3 linked regions of the Mus musculus genome follow. The protein of the gene in region 3 interacts with the protein of the main gene of each other region in a pairwise test. Links are inferred from orthologs where the notes say so. Each region holds a gene or a part of one and is shown on either strand. Other genes may lie near its edges. The genes, in order: Ccnl1, Hnrnpul1 and Prpf40a.

Evidence for each region.
Region 1: the proteins of Prpf40a (region 3) and Ccnl1 interact in binary tests that used the Homo sapiens proteins (3 or more experiments, as listed by UniProt). The link is inferred for Mus musculus from reciprocal best matches to the Homo sapiens genes PRPF40A and CCNL1.
Region 2: the proteins of Prpf40a (region 3) and Hnrnpul1 interact in a two-hybrid assay, tested with the Homo sapiens proteins (2 studies listed by BioGRID and IntAct). The link is inferred for Mus musculus from reciprocal best matches to the Homo sapiens genes PRPF40A and HNRNPUL1.

The regions. Positions count from the first base shown.
Region 1 is NC_000069.6:65,954,826-65,960,109, forward strand, and holds the start of Ccnl1 (cyclin-L1), read right to left. Parts: upstream 3,425-5,284; 5' UTR 3,304-3,424; coding exon 2,983-3,303; intron 2,751-2,982; coding exon 2,676-2,750; intron 2,138-2,675; coding exon 2,028-2,137; intron 452-2,027; exon of another isoform or gene 402-451; coding exon of another isoform or gene 305-401; exon of another isoform or gene 1-304. UniProt on the Homo sapiens protein: Involved in pre-mRNA splicing. Functions in association with cyclin-dependent kinases (CDKs). Inhibited by the CDK-specific inhibitor CDKN1A/p21. May play a role in the regulation of RNA polymerase II (pol II).
Region 2 is NC_000073.6:25,720,139-25,724,221, reverse strand, and holds the end of Hnrnpul1 (heterogeneous nuclear ribonucleoprotein U-like protein 1), read left to right. Parts: intron 1-1,224; coding exon 1,225-1,416; intron 1,417-1,858; coding exon 1,859-1,975; 3' UTR 1,976-3,061; downstream 3,062-4,083.
Region 3 is NC_000068.7:53,188,132-53,193,310, forward strand, and holds the start of Prpf40a (pre-mRNA-processing factor 40 homolog A), read right to left. Parts: upstream 3,102-5,179; coding exon 2,892-3,101; intron 1,970-2,891; coding exon 1,838-1,969; intron 397-1,837; exon of another isoform or gene 317-396; intron 1-316. Other genes in the region: Arl6ip6 (ADP-ribosylation factor-like protein 6-interacting protein 6), read left to right, coding at 3,992-4,391.

The sequences.
Region 1 (5,284 bases), on a different chromosome or scaffold from region 3:
AAAAGGCTATGTACCCCTTGTAATTGTCAAGGCCATAGAATAACCTAGTTAATTTGCACAAATTGGACTAAAATTCAAGACAAACCAATAAGAGTATCAGAGTAAAACATTTATGAATACTTTCTAACCATGCCCTATGGGGGGGAAAAAGGGAAAGAAAAAAAGAAAAATAAATAAAAACCCCACCACCTTTTAAAGCTATAGTTTTAATAACTTGGACAGCAAAGACAAAAGCTTTTAACAAGAAACAGGAGTTTTTTGTTTGTTTGTTTGTTTTTCTCTAAATGGTTCACCAGTGGCCAACCTGTTAGTCCCCGATTCCAGTGACCTATTCTCAGAACACTGGCTTCTCCTTGGGGATTTCGATACTTCACTCACTGTTGCCATGACGACAGCTTCATCTCTATGTACCACTCCACATCACCCAGGCTTTGGTAAATGTAGCTGGTCGCTGTATAGTCGGTTGCAAGGGAAAAAAGAGTTGAAGTTAATAACATATACAAGTTACATGTCTGAGTAAACTTGTAATATGCATAGAAACACTTATATCCTGCTTTTAAAAGGGGGGCTTCCATGCAATTAACTTCTTTAAGAATTTCATGCTATAATCAAATTTGAAACATTGAAACAAAATCAATTTCTCTTTAATGATGATCAAAAATGAAGTTTATATCCAATACAAGCCAGTCAGATTGAATTATTTTAAATTTTGAAGTTTTATAAAAAGATGATCCTATTCTGACACCTAGGAAGGAAGAAGTCCCACAGAAAAACACCAAACGATCATGTGATTATAGTTGGCTCAACAACTCATATACTACTAGAAAATGTTCCTTTATTCACTAAAAATAAGAATTCTGTATTTCAGTGTTTTGTAAAAACACCCTGAAAAAAAAAATCAGCCATGTAATCTAAAATACAAGTATAAGCTCAGAACATACTAAACACTAATTTGAAACTCCCCCATTTCTCAACTTTCTTCACAAAGAACTAAAAATGTTTTCAAACAGAAGAAATTGTATCTGGGCACATAGTTAGAAAAGATGGGGCTGAATAGTATAGAGAAAAAAATGCTATAAAAATTGACTGTGTTACTCATTTCAAACTTCCACTACCACCAACTTATAGCTTCCACAATAAAGACTACCTATGTTCAATACGCATTAGGACTAAGCAACACCCAACTCCCAAAACAGGTTATCTTGTCATAGCTAAATTCCTTCCAAGCTCACAGTTCCTTAGAAACTAATCTACACCACAAATATCCATCAGCCTGTCCTAGAATCACCTGTAGAGCCTGGAGTACTGCAACAAGCTTTGGTACTGCCTTATAGGCCCACATAAAGTTACCAGGGTATCACTACACCTAAAAGATACTGTTTCAGACTCTATTTTCTTACAAGATCGAATAAAGAGCCCTATCTGAAGCAACTCAATGAGTTATTTTTCTAAGGAACTCACTGAGACTACATCTGACCAAAACAGAATACCTGTTCAATCCCTTTGACTTCAAACTTTATCATCCTCCAGTCCTTTCAGATGCGGCATTATGCGATATATCGTAGTTCAATGTTGAGAAGTACTCTAACAAAAGCCAACCTCAATTGATGAAGAAACTGGGACTCCAAGCAGAAAAACGACCTACACGGAACTTTGCCACAACATTAACTTGAACTACAGGGCTTACATGTCCAGCCTTCAGTTTTCCAGAGAGGGGAGGGGAAACACAACTTACAGAATACACTCCCACTTGAGCCAACCGTACTCCCTTTCTTGTTTAATCTTAAGCCAAGGGACTGGCTTCACAGCACTCTAGAATTGTCCACAATGCAACTGTCTCTACAAACTTCAGATAGCTGGTTAATGGAGGGGATTTTAAAAGTTTCAATGTTCCTACGTGAATTTCAGCACCTAATGTCCGCTTTCTTTTGCATCCACACTGACTTGAGGGAGGGGAGAAGATGTTTTGACTGGATGATTGGTGCACAGTACAGCAAGAGATACTATGTTCAACAGGCCAATCTTACCTTTTTCCTCTTAACTGGCGGAGGTGGTGGAATACATTAATCACATCTCTTATTCTTCTTGGCGCTTCTTCGATTTTTGACGCAAGATTAATACAGGCCATAGCAACAATCTGAAAGAACCCAGGTAAAAATCCAAGTGAAGTTAAACTAGAAACAGTTTAACAAAGTCTAACAACCCTTATTTTGTTTTGTTTTTAGATAGGGCTTCTCTGTGTAGTCCTGGCTTCCAGGAACTCCATCTGTATGTACATCTGCCTGCCCAAGGATGTGGGTCACCAAGGACCGGCAAAGAACCCTCTTTAGGATACAACGGGCTTTTTAGCGAAATAAAATCGAAGCTGACATTTTTAGACCAGCTCTTACGTTTTATTGCTCAACTGCTCTTAATTTTGGGTCAGAATCAAGCTACCTCTTGCTAGAATTGTGCAATGGCTTGAAAACGTAGTTCTTGGTTAACAGAGCACGTGAACTGGGGATCCATTTTCTAGTTCTTGAAACATTGCTCTACGGGCCCCATTTCCTTCTGGGTGGGAACGAGGTACAAAGGCCTAAGCTAACCACTCCCTTTCTGGAAAAGCTGGTTCCTACCCCCTTCCTCCCCGCTTCCGGATGAAGAAATCCCTTCTTGTCCGCCTCCGCCGCGCTTACCTCGAAACTGTGTTTGACGAACGACTTGGAGTAGAAGAACCGATGGAACAGCACCTGCCCTGTAGCCATCGCCACCTGCAGACGAGAGAGGAGAACGGAAGCGCCGGGGTCAGGCGGGCCCGCACCAGGCGCCGCCGCCATTTTGTGCGGCCGCTCGCTTCCCTTCCCCCGCCCGGGCCGCGCGGCGCCGCCCGCCCCCGCATCCCCACCCTCGCCCGCCCGAGCTCCCGCCGCCGCCGCCGCCCGGCGCAGGCTCCGGAGAAACCTGGCCGCGGCGGAGAGGCCCGCAACCAGCCGGGGTTCTCACCTGCGGCAGCCGGAGGAGGATGCCGGCGGCCTGGATGAGCTCGCAGCCCAAGATGCGCAGATCCGTCTCGCTGGGCAGGTCCAGGCCGTCCTGCATGGACGGGGTAGGCGAGAGCCGCTCCTCCGGGATCAGCGAGTGGTCGATGGTGAGCGACACCTCCGAATACAGGCGGTCGCCGATCAGGATCCCTCCGGTCGTGGTCGTCGTCGTGGTGGTCGTGCCGGAGCTGGAGCCGCCCGCGCTCGGGGCGGCGGACGAGGCGGAGGCGGCAGCGGCGGCGGCGGCGGCAGCGGTCGAGGTCGGGTGAGGCCCGGACGCCATAGTTCCAGCGAGCTCCACGCACGCCCGACGCAGCCGGAACCCAAAGCGAGACTAACCAGCGTCCTCGGCGCGACGGATCTTCCCGTGACCGCCGGCTTCCAGGCCGCCGCACGCAGCGTGCGCTTCCGCCCTGACGTCACCACGCCGACACGCCCTACCCCACCCCACTCCACTCCCCGCGCGCGCCAACGAGTTCCTCCGCGCTTCGGTCGGTGACACCGGGCGGAGGGGTCCGGATGGGCAGGGCGGGGCAGGGTGCTGGCGGCTCAGGGGTGGTAATGGCTTTAGTCACCGGATAACCCGGACTCTGGCCTGGTGAGTCGGCCCCGATACCCCTGCACGGTCTGCGCGTTGGTGACAGTCCGGCGGTCGGCGACACCGGAGTGTAACAAAGTGACTCTGAACCGGGCAGCTTCCCAGTTTGAGCGCCTGGGGTTTCCGGAAAGCTCCGAGCGCGCGTGGGTGTCGGGGTGTAGCCTAGAAAGGCATGCCTAGCCCTGACCTCACTTCGCCGGGTTTACAGTAATCTGGAAAATCCCTAGTTCCAAAAATAGGTTTATGGCGAGGACAGTACACGGGCGATTTCATTGCGCTGGGGAGTCTCGTCTTAAAGAGATGGTTTTTGTCAGAGTGGAGAGAAAGTAACTATCCCTGTGTCAATGAAGAGAAAAACACAGCTCTCATCTTACATGGAGTTTGGAATAACCTAAATCTGTGTTCCGGGACCATGGTCAATCAAAATGGCTCCAGGATAACCCATCATTTATTCCCTTTAAGATGAGAGCTGTGGTTTTTTTGTTTTTTTCGAGACAGTTTCTCTGTATAGTTCTGGCTGTCCTGAAACTCACTTTGTAGACCAGGCTGGCCCTGAACTCAGAAATCCGCCTGTCTTTGTCTCCCGAGTGCTGGGATTAAAGGCGTGCGCCACCACCGCCTGGCTGAGAGCTGTGGTCTTTTTCCATCCATACTAAAAGTCCCAAAAGCTGAGGTCGACCGTGAAACAATTGATCCTTCTGCCTCTGGCCTCCCATGATCTTTTTATTCCAGCTTAATCCTCTGAGATGGCCTTTAGGGAGAAAGAAAAATCTCCTGACTCAGTACAAAGGGTTGGAATTGTTATTTTGTTAAAGCTTACTTTCTTGAAAAGTGTCTTAACCTTGGACCTATAGAGCGCACTGAAAATTTGGATACATCTTAGTCACCAAAGCAAGGTATTTTCACAGCTCATTTTTACAAAGTGTGTTGGGACGGGCACTCTGGAGACAAAGACAGGTGGATCTCTGATTAGAGGGTCAGACTGATTCCAAGCCAGTAAGAGCTATATAATATCTTCAAAATGAAACAAAACCTCTTCCAAACAAAAGCTATATAGAGCAGGAAGTGGTGGCACAAGCCTTTAATCCCAGTACTCAACTAAAGCCTCAAAAACAAAAATTTTATGATTGTGATAGCTTTTTGTCACTGACAGATTACCTAGAAAGTCCACAATGAGGTTTAATTTTGGTTTATGGTCTCTGAGGTTTCAGGCTACAGCCATGTGGCCCTATACCTGTAGGACTGTGTAGGCAGAACTTTATGGTGTGAGACCTTGGTAAAAACAAATCCCTTGCCACCAACAAAGAGAAAGGGGAATATATCCAGGGATCTCCCTCCTCAAGTAGGTTGCCAACTCCTAATTGCTTGTCCAGCTGTGACCTCATCGTCGGATTAACCCATTTATGAGGTATTTGCCTTTGTGATTAAATCACCTCTCAGTGCTACTAACTAAGGACAAGCTCTTCACAGGGTCTGTATGTGGCAGGCATTTCATATCCAAACTTTCTGTGACAGCATAGGAGACACAAGTCCAGGGGACAGGTATGTCGGGACAAAACTTTTCCTAGTGAGACACTACTCACCTCAGATAGGGAACCTACCACAGACCAAAGTATGGATACCATCAGAGTGCAAACTTGGTGAACCAATGAGTTTTATTAGGGTT
Region 2 (4,083 bases), on a different chromosome or scaffold from region 3:
CCCTTAATAGCTCCAGACCCTGTTCCATTTCTTAGGAAGCCAGTGCCTGGGTTCTGGTGAACTGAAGCCATCTCTTTTATTTCACAGCTGTCTGAGTACCCATTACATGCCAGGGAGCAGCTGGGAACACTTGCCAGGAGCAGATGAGTGCTCCTAGATGCCACCCAGCCAGCACATTTCCTAGAATGAGAGTTTGGCAAGACTTAAGTTCAGCGCTAGCTCCAACAGAACCTGACTTTGACCTGGGACAGTCAGCTTGACCCTTCTGGTCCTTGTTTCCACATAAAGGACAGAAACATTACTAGGAATCACTTGTGAAGTTTCTGTGAGGTGATGGGGACTGTAGCTTAATGAAGCCTCTGGAACTGGGCAGACCTGGGTTAGTCATTCTAATAGTGTGACTTGGCCCAACAACCTCGCTTAGATTTTCTTTTTAGAGTTCATTATTTTTTAAATTTACTTTATGTGTGTGTGTTTATATGTGTTTGTATGTGCCCCACCTGTGTGCAGTACCTGCAGAGGTCAAAAGAGGATATTGGCTTCCTTGAAACTAGAGTTATAGACAGTTGAGTTACTGTGTAGGTGCTAGGAACTGAACCTGGAGCCTCTGTAAGAGCAACCAGTACTCTTTTAAATATGTATGTATGTATGTATGTGTATGTACTGTAGCTGTCTTCAGACACACCAGAAGAGGGAGTCAGATCCCATTACAGATGGTTGTAAGCCACCATGTGGTTGCTGGCATGTGAACTCAGGACCTCTAGAAGAACAGTCAGTGTTCTTAACCGCTGAGCCATCTCTCCAGCCCCAGCCTCAGCTTCCATCTCTAAAATAAAGCTAGTGAATATGCCAGGCTTGCTGATGAGATGGAATGGGTTACTGATCCACTCTGCATGAAAGGCTCCTAGCATCTTGTCACCACTGCTTTTCTCAGCAGCTCTCACAGTGGCCATTTGCCACCATTTCCTGAGTACCCAGCACTTTGTGCATGCAAGCTTATTGAACTACCAAGGCACACCAAGAGCGAGACCAGGCTGACATTGTAGACTGTGAAGCAGGTCTTTGAACTGCCTTGTGTGCTGCTGCTCTCGGGTTTCAGCCTAGGGTCAGCTGCTTCCCAGACCCATCCTTGCACTTTAGAACAGACTTGCCTCCATCCAGGAACCTGTGTGCATACCAATGTGTGCTGTCTGTCTCATGGAGTGTTTGCCTTTTTCTACTCAGCCGAGTTACAGCCAGCCACCCTACAACCAAGGAGGCTACACCCAGGGCTACACAGCCCCACCACCTCCACCTCCGCCACCACCTGCCTACAACTATGGGAGCTATGGCCCCTACAATCCTGCCCCCTATACACCCCCACCACCCCCAACTGCCCAGACCTACCCTCAGCCCAGCTATAACCAGTATCAGCAGGTGAGTACAAGATGGGCCTTCCGGTAAGGCTTCTGGGAGCATTCTTGGGTGTGCATTCAGATTTGGGTTCCTGCCTGTTTCTGAAATATGGGCAGCTGCTTGTCTCAGGCTTTTGATAAACTGGTCTTTAATGGCCGATGTGTAGCCCTGGACCCCAGTGCAGCAAACCTTCCTAGCTAAGCTAGGCCTCCAACGTAGCCAAGGGGTGCCAAGTTCCATTCCAAGTTGGTGCTGGGGCTGCCACACCTGAAAAGGACAGCCAGCCAGCAAGCCACAAGACCAAGACTGCTTTCCCATTTATGTGACATCAAGTCACCCCTTACCTTTCCAAAGCATTTTGGTTTCTGTCAAAGAACCCATGTGATGAGGGTGGACCACAAAAGGAGAGAAGGGACAGTCTGGAGTGCAAGAGATAACTTGATATTCTTGTTCTCTCCCCCAGTATGCCCAGCAGTGGAGCCAGTACTATCAGAACCAGAGCCAGTGGCCGCCATACTACGGGAACTACGACTATGGAGGCTACTCGGGCAGCACACAGGGGGGCACAAGCACACAGTAGCCGGTGCTGGAGCCTTCAGAGGCTCGTGCCGGCTGCTTCTAATAGCACCTGCCTTGGCCCCTTTTTCCCCTCTGAGTCCTGTGGTGCTGGGGACAGAGTTATCCCAGGGCTGCCTCTCTCTAGCCCACTTTTTCCAGAGGAGCTTCTCTCTTCATACAGGCCAGGCATTTTCCTCTCTGGATTCCAACAGGCAACAGTGAGCTTTTCTTTTATCTTTGTCCCTCCACTTCCTCCTCCCCTGCCTTCTTAGCTAAAGAAGCCTCCCTTGTGAGGCCACAGTGACTGGGGAGGAGCCTTGCCTGTCTGCCCCTCCCTACTCTGCTTTTTAGCCCCTTGGCTTCCCAGACTCTCATGCAGTTGGTTGTAAATTCTTCCAGGAGCTGTTTTTCTGTCTACTTTTCAGGATTTAAAAAAAATTTTTTTCAAAAACTTTAAAAAAAAAAAAAGTTTAAGAAGCAAATTGCAGAGGGAGGAAGCATTGACTTTTTTTGGTAATTATGCTTTTTTTTTTTTTTTTTTAATTTTTAGAATTTGTCTGTTTTTACTGTGGGTCAGCCGTTGATACTTCATCAAATAACCATTTCTTTGCTGAGTTCAGGTAACCGAGGAAGAGCCACACCCTCGAAACAACAAAATCACCTTTAACCTAACTTTTTATATGATGTCTCAGTTCCCCGTAACTTTGCACACAAGCGTCTGTTCAGTTGGATTGTAACTGCTTTTTGTACTTGGAGAGAGTGTGACTATTGAACTTGAAACCTTTTACTCCAGGAGTCGTGGTAGTTTCTGGTGGGCATAAGCGGGTGAGAGGGTGAAGGGAAGGTGGGGGTGGGGCCAGCTTCCCTTTAGACCCTAAAGTTCCTCCACCACCACCACCACCACCACCTCCACCTCCACCACCACCTCCACCTCCATTGCTCTTCCAGGTGCCAGACCTGCAATGTTTTACAGTGGTCCTTTTGATTACTCTCACTTCCCGAATGTTCTAACCGGACCTTAGCAAACCGCACTTATTACAAGATGTTTTACCCTGTTTTGTTTTGTTTTCTTTCAATAAATGACATGGCACCTCTTATCAGGAAGGAAGCAGGGTTGAAACCCTGAAGTGTTACTGCAGTTGGCCTTTAATTGGGATGGGAACCTTTGAAGGGGAAATGCCTCGATCATTTATTTAAACAAAGTGGGTCTGTACTTCACATAACCCAGATGCTCCTTGTGCAGGGACAGACAGGTGAGAGCTGTAAGAATGAGACTATGCTGGCGCAGGCCCCTCTCCGGGTGTGTTGCCCAACCTACCCTAAGGTCCAGCCTGGATGCTGCTCTCAGGGTGGCCCTGTACCGCCACCTGTGCAGGTGTTGGCTGCCTACTCTTCCCTACCTATCATCCTGAACAGTTCTAGGGATGTGAGCACTGCAGAAATGACCCTAGCCCCTCTTCTTGGAGTTCCTCCTCTAGGGAATACAAATTTGTAACCAGTTACAGCGCCAAGCATTTAGAGAGACCCTGAAGTAATAGGCAGGGCTTTCTGGAAAAGAGGAAAATGCAGGGTGAGCTGTGGGGTGGGACTCTAGCCCACTGTCCTTTCTAGCTTCATTTCTCCTGTGCAAGCTGTGTTTTTCACATCTGATGCAGTGTGTGGGCAGCTCGCCCAGCTCCCTTGTAGAAACTAGGGAGCCTTTGAAGAGCCACAACCTATCAAAAGAAGCTGGGGGTTGTGACAAGAGCCTGTATCCAAAGGTATGCATACCACTTACAGTGCCCCAGGACCTAGGTGCAACATGGCTAGACACCAGGAGGGAGTAGATGCAAGGCTGAGGGGGGACCATGTCGGTGCCTAAAAGATACTTGTCACTGGGCTGTGGTGGCACGCTCCTTTAATCCCAGCACTTGGGAGGCAGAGGCAGGTGGATTTCTGAGTTCCAGGACAGCCAGGGCTATACAGAGAATCCCTGTCTGGGGGAGGGGGGAAGGGGAGGAGAGACACTTGTCAAGTTGCTCTAGGAGAAGGTAAGGAGGGGTCCTTGTCCCTAGCCTGGGAAATGCTGCTCTTGGCATATGTGTGTTGGGCAGCATCGCCCTCTGCTGGCCATTCCTGGTGATGCAGCTG
Region 3 (5,179 bases):
AATGCTAAACATTTAAACAGTCAGGTGCACAGAACATATTAGACTAAAAAAAAAATTAATAATAGTAGAAAACCATGAAGCAAAAGTCAAAATATCTGAAGTGTGTAAGTATAAAGTAAACTAATTAGGAATATGGTCACTGGCACAGCTAAAGAGAAGGGGCCACAAAACAAACTGTGACCAGTGTATGCCAATTACTTAAAAAAATAAAGTAAAATCTGCACTGTACTAAAAATGAGTAGCTGGCATCTCAGGACTGCTAGTGCAACAGCACCGGGACAGCAAGGGTAAGCAGGCCAACCCCTTGCAAACTTACCTTGCCTGGCCCAATGGACACAGAAGGCCCCAGAAAAGAGAGAAGCGTCTGGCAGTAGCAAATTGTTTTATTTTATCTTTCTGTGGAAAGAAACTAATTTTAAATAAGAACCAGAGCATTAGAGAATAAATATTTTTTAAAGCTCATTATCTAGTTAGAGCAGCTCTACCAAGAAAACAAGAAGGGTTTTGTGCTGCTTAGAGATGGAAAGATACAGAAAAAGAATCAAGAGTTGTCTCTGCATATCCTAGGGAGTTTTAAAGTATTATTATTCGAGAGTAACAGAGCAAAAGAATCTTTTCTATAAGGAACTCCTGCAGGCAGAATCTTTTCAGTTTGGTGCCTTTGAATACAATTTTCTTATCCAAAATTAAGGGCTATATTCCAAATATAAAAGAAAACCACTTAACACTGAGCCATTCTACTCTTTAAAATAAAAAAAGCAAACAAACAAAAAAACACAAGTTCCTGTTTCCCCCTGTAATTTCACCAGTAACTTTAGCCTTCATTGCTCAAACCATCGTCAAACTCAATAGTACTCATTAGCAAAAGAAAATATACAACTGGCTTTCTAAAATATTCTGCTAATCAAAAATTTCATGACTTATCAAGATATTCAACTGGAATAACCCAGCCCACCTAAGAATCAGTGTATTATATAGAACCTAGCATAGGACAGAACTGTTGATGCACCTCAAGCTCTTGTCTTTCTTGACCACTTCTCTAGAAATTCTACCCGTGTTCCTGAGTCATCTTAAAACCTTTTAATCCAATCACTCCTACGAAAAAACGTCCATTTACGATTTGTGCTAGAGATTCAAGGGGCAACGCACAAGTAGGAGTATAGAAGCAATTATCATTCAAAAATTAAGTAGAAAATGAGCTACCTATTTGGCACTGTCCAGGAAAGAATTAGTAATAGAGCAGAAAATCCCTCCGCACCCCAAACAAGAGGAAGATACTCCAAGAATAAAATTCATTCTACATGAAAACCCCAAGTAACTACTATTTTTCTGATGCTAGGCTTTACACATTCACCACGATTATCTTCTGATATATATTTACTCCTAGACCATTAATAATTATAATGCCTGAAATAAAGTCACTAAGTTAAATAGATTAGATGTATACTCTCACTTTAAATTATTTGCTTGGTTTTCCAGATAGGGTTTCTCTGTCTTGGAACTCAGTCTATAGATCCAGGCTGGCCTTGAACTCAGAGATCTAACTGCCACTGCCTCCCAAGTGCTGGGATCAAAGGCGTGCGCCACCACAGCCGGCTTATTTTTTTTAAAGCTTAATTTTGTTGAGGAAGTCAGTTAATTTTTTCTCATACAGTCTTACTACATTCAAAATTTGGTTACAGACATGAGCAATGTAATGTTTTGTCTTGTTTGAAGACATTACGTGGATATAAACTAACCTTTAAAGGGCTGCAAGTACACCACTGACTTACATCTTAAATACATCTCGACACACTCAAACAAAACTAAGCAAGCCAAAGGGAAAGCGTCTTCTTACTTGTCCCATTGGAGGCCCTCCCATAGGGGGCATCATCTGTGGCATCATTCCATGAGGTACAGGAGGCATGTTTGCTCTCTGACCCATAGGGTGCATGCCCATTGGTGCATAATGCATGCCAGGATGCCCCATCTGAAAAATAATAAAAAGGGAGAGTGAGAGACAGTTAAATGCTTCTTTAAAATGTCATTTCAAAAACAACAACTAAAACCCATCAATTAAGGCACAATATTAAATCACTGTGATTAAATTACAGTATTAGCATATACTGAAGTTAATCTTAATTACACTACAGTGATTATTAGATGGGGCCTGAAAATTTACAAAATAATGGAAAAGTTAAACCCATTAGCGGATTACAACCCCTCTCCAATGACTTAACAAACTGTTAAATGACTGGTCAGACTTGGTGACTATGTATTGAATTCCAACTTAAAAAATTATTACGATGAACACAACTTCCGTCACCTTTATACACATAACCAGCTTATACTACTTAAAATTACATTCATATGGACAAGACCTAAAACAGAGTGCGGGTACCCAAGAGTACTTCACAAATGTTTTAATAGAGTTAAACTGTCCCAGACACTAACAAATTCATGCCGTTTTAGGGAGCTTAAAATATAATACTTCCATTGTTCCTGGCTTGAAACTAAGTATCCGCAGCCAATTCTCCCAACCGAATCCCCCAAGCCCTGCAAATCACCACCACTCCCGGAGAAATAAGACCGCAGCAGCCGCTCCTTAAGTCCCACAGACTTAAGTGTCCCTACTGTAAGTCAAGCCTGGGGCTCTCAGATGCACAGTCCGCCCGGGGCCCAGCACCTTCCTTCTTCCTAAGGCATCTATCTACCTAGGCCAAGACCACTGGCAAGTCCAAGGTCCCACCTATTTCTTTGTGTGTTCCCGCCCTCCATCTCTCCCCCTTGGGACGTAGCCCACCATCTGCAGCTCTCTTCCTGATATGCTCTTCTCCGTTTGGAGAGAGCTTCCTGTTTCTCTGACTCGGTTTTTCATTGTGCCGCTTTCCCCTACCCCGCCGATCCCTTACCGAGGGCCGTCTCCTCAGGAAGCCGTCAGCAGAGACCCAAGAACTGGAGCACAGGTTTGAGCCGGACAATCTCCGCTCCCCGTCCCCGGGACCCCGCGAGGGAGGTTGGCTCTCCATTTCACTCACCATGAGGCCTCCACGCTCGGCTCCAGTCCCCGGCCTCATCGTCGGGCTCAGACTGCTCCGTCGGCGGCCACTGCCGCTGCACATACCAACAAGAAGCGATCTGAGTGGCTGGCGCCCGCCGGGGCCAAAGGGTAAAGGCTGCCCTGAGCTGCGGGGCGGGATCAGCGGGGCCAATAAACTGACAGGCTTCCCTACTGTCCAATCAGAGCGCGAGACCGACAGGCAGCTCTGCGGCGATTCGCCCCCTGCCTCGCTCGGCGTCGCCTGCATGGAGGGGGGGGGAGGGGGGACGGAGGAAGTTTCTGCGTCGAGTGCTCTGCCGGGGAAACTCTACCAACTTCCCCCAGGAAAGGGGACACGGCGGGGACCCAGATTCCCGGGTTCGGGCCACCGCACCCCGTCGGGGGGTGGGGCAGTGGCGTCCAGCCCCTCGCCCTAGTTACGTTCGCCCCACAAACCTGAGGCCACCAGGGGTGGGGTGGGGGTGGGGCGGGGGAAGCGGCACCCGGCGTTAGCGGCCTAGTGCGCGCGCGCGCGGTTGCCCTGGGGAGGGGGTCGTGCCTTTGGGGGTGGGGGGGAGAAACTCGAGAGCTGCGCGCGCGCCCGGCATAGTGAAGGGCGGAGGCGCGAACTGTATCTGGCGGGGAGCGGTAAAGACAGAGATCTCTCGCCCGAGGGAGGAAGCGACTGGCGGTTAGGAAGGCGCGGAACTGCGGTCATGGGGCTCGAGAGGTGCGTGCCCACAGGACCCGAAAGGGTGGAATAAATGAGAGTGTTGTCGCGGCGGGCCATGGGCGCGCGCTCCCACGGCGCCTCCGGAAGCGGAGTCCCCGGGTAACCCGCTCTTGCACTCCCCTACGGTTCTGCGCGCGGTGGTTGGGTCCGCCGACGGCCGTCTCTGATTGGCTGTAGCCGGGGCGGGGCGTGGCGGTGGTGGACAGCCGACCTTCGCGGGACTCTCAGTCTTTCCCGCCATGTCGTTCGTGGAGAGTTGGAGGTTTGCGGGCGCGCGGAGGCGCCGTCAGGTTACCCCAGGCCCTGCGACTCGGCCCGGGTATTCCGACTACACTCAGGGGGACAGCTGGGGTGAGGGCGAAGGCGACGAAGACGAGGGATGCGACCAAGTGGCCCGCGACTTGCGGGCAGAGTTCTCAGCCAGGGCGTCGTCGGAGACCAAGAGGGCCCCGCTACTCCCCCGGGTCGGGGACGGGTCTCCGGTCCTGCCGGATAAGCGCAACGGCATCTTCCCGGCCACTGCGGCCAAGCGAACCCAGGCTCGGCGGTGGCCCATCCAAGCCCTTTCCATTCTCTGTTCGCTGCTGTTCGCCGTCCTCCTTGCTTTCCTTCTCGCCATCGCCTACATGATCGTTAAAGGTATTGAAGCCCAGGCCTTGAAAGGCTGTCCAGCGTAAAGTGCAGCCAGTACATCACACGCCCCCATTCACACTCTCCTCCCAAAGCGTTCCCTCGAGACTGCTATCGTCCCTTTTGTCTTCTCTCCCTAGATGGACGTCCTTGCTCCGTCATGAGACCCATTTAGAAAAGATCTTTGGCTAAATCTACAGTCTTTAATGCCGTAAAGGCATTGAACACTTTGAGTTGAAACAGCAGAGCCCCTTACTTTTAAAAGGATCAAAAAAGTACGTGTAAGAAAGTACTGCTGTACGTCCTAAGGCTGATGTTAAGAGACATGCTGGGTTTGCACTGTTCTCTGAACCTAGGACAAGGATCCCCACCCCCACCCCATCCCAAGTTTCTACTTTTCTCTCTCTCTCTCTCTTTCTTTCTTTTTTTCTTTTTTGAGACAGGGTTTCTCTGTATAGACCTGGCTGTCCTGGAACTCACTTTGTAGACCAAACTGGCTGGCTTTCTTTCTTTCTTTTTTTTTTTTAATATTCTTTTTTAAAAATTTTTATTAGATATTTTCTTCATTTACATTTTAAATGCTATCCTGAAAGCCCCCTATACTCCCCCCCCCCCCGCCCTCTCGCCCTGCCCCCCTACCCACCCACTCCCACTACTTGGCCCTGGCATTCCCCTGTACTGGGGTATATAAAGTTTACAAGACTAAGGGGCCTCTCTTGCCAATGATGGCCGACTAGGCCATCTTTTGATACATATGCAGCTAGAGTCAAGAACTCCGGGGTGCTGGTTAGTTCATA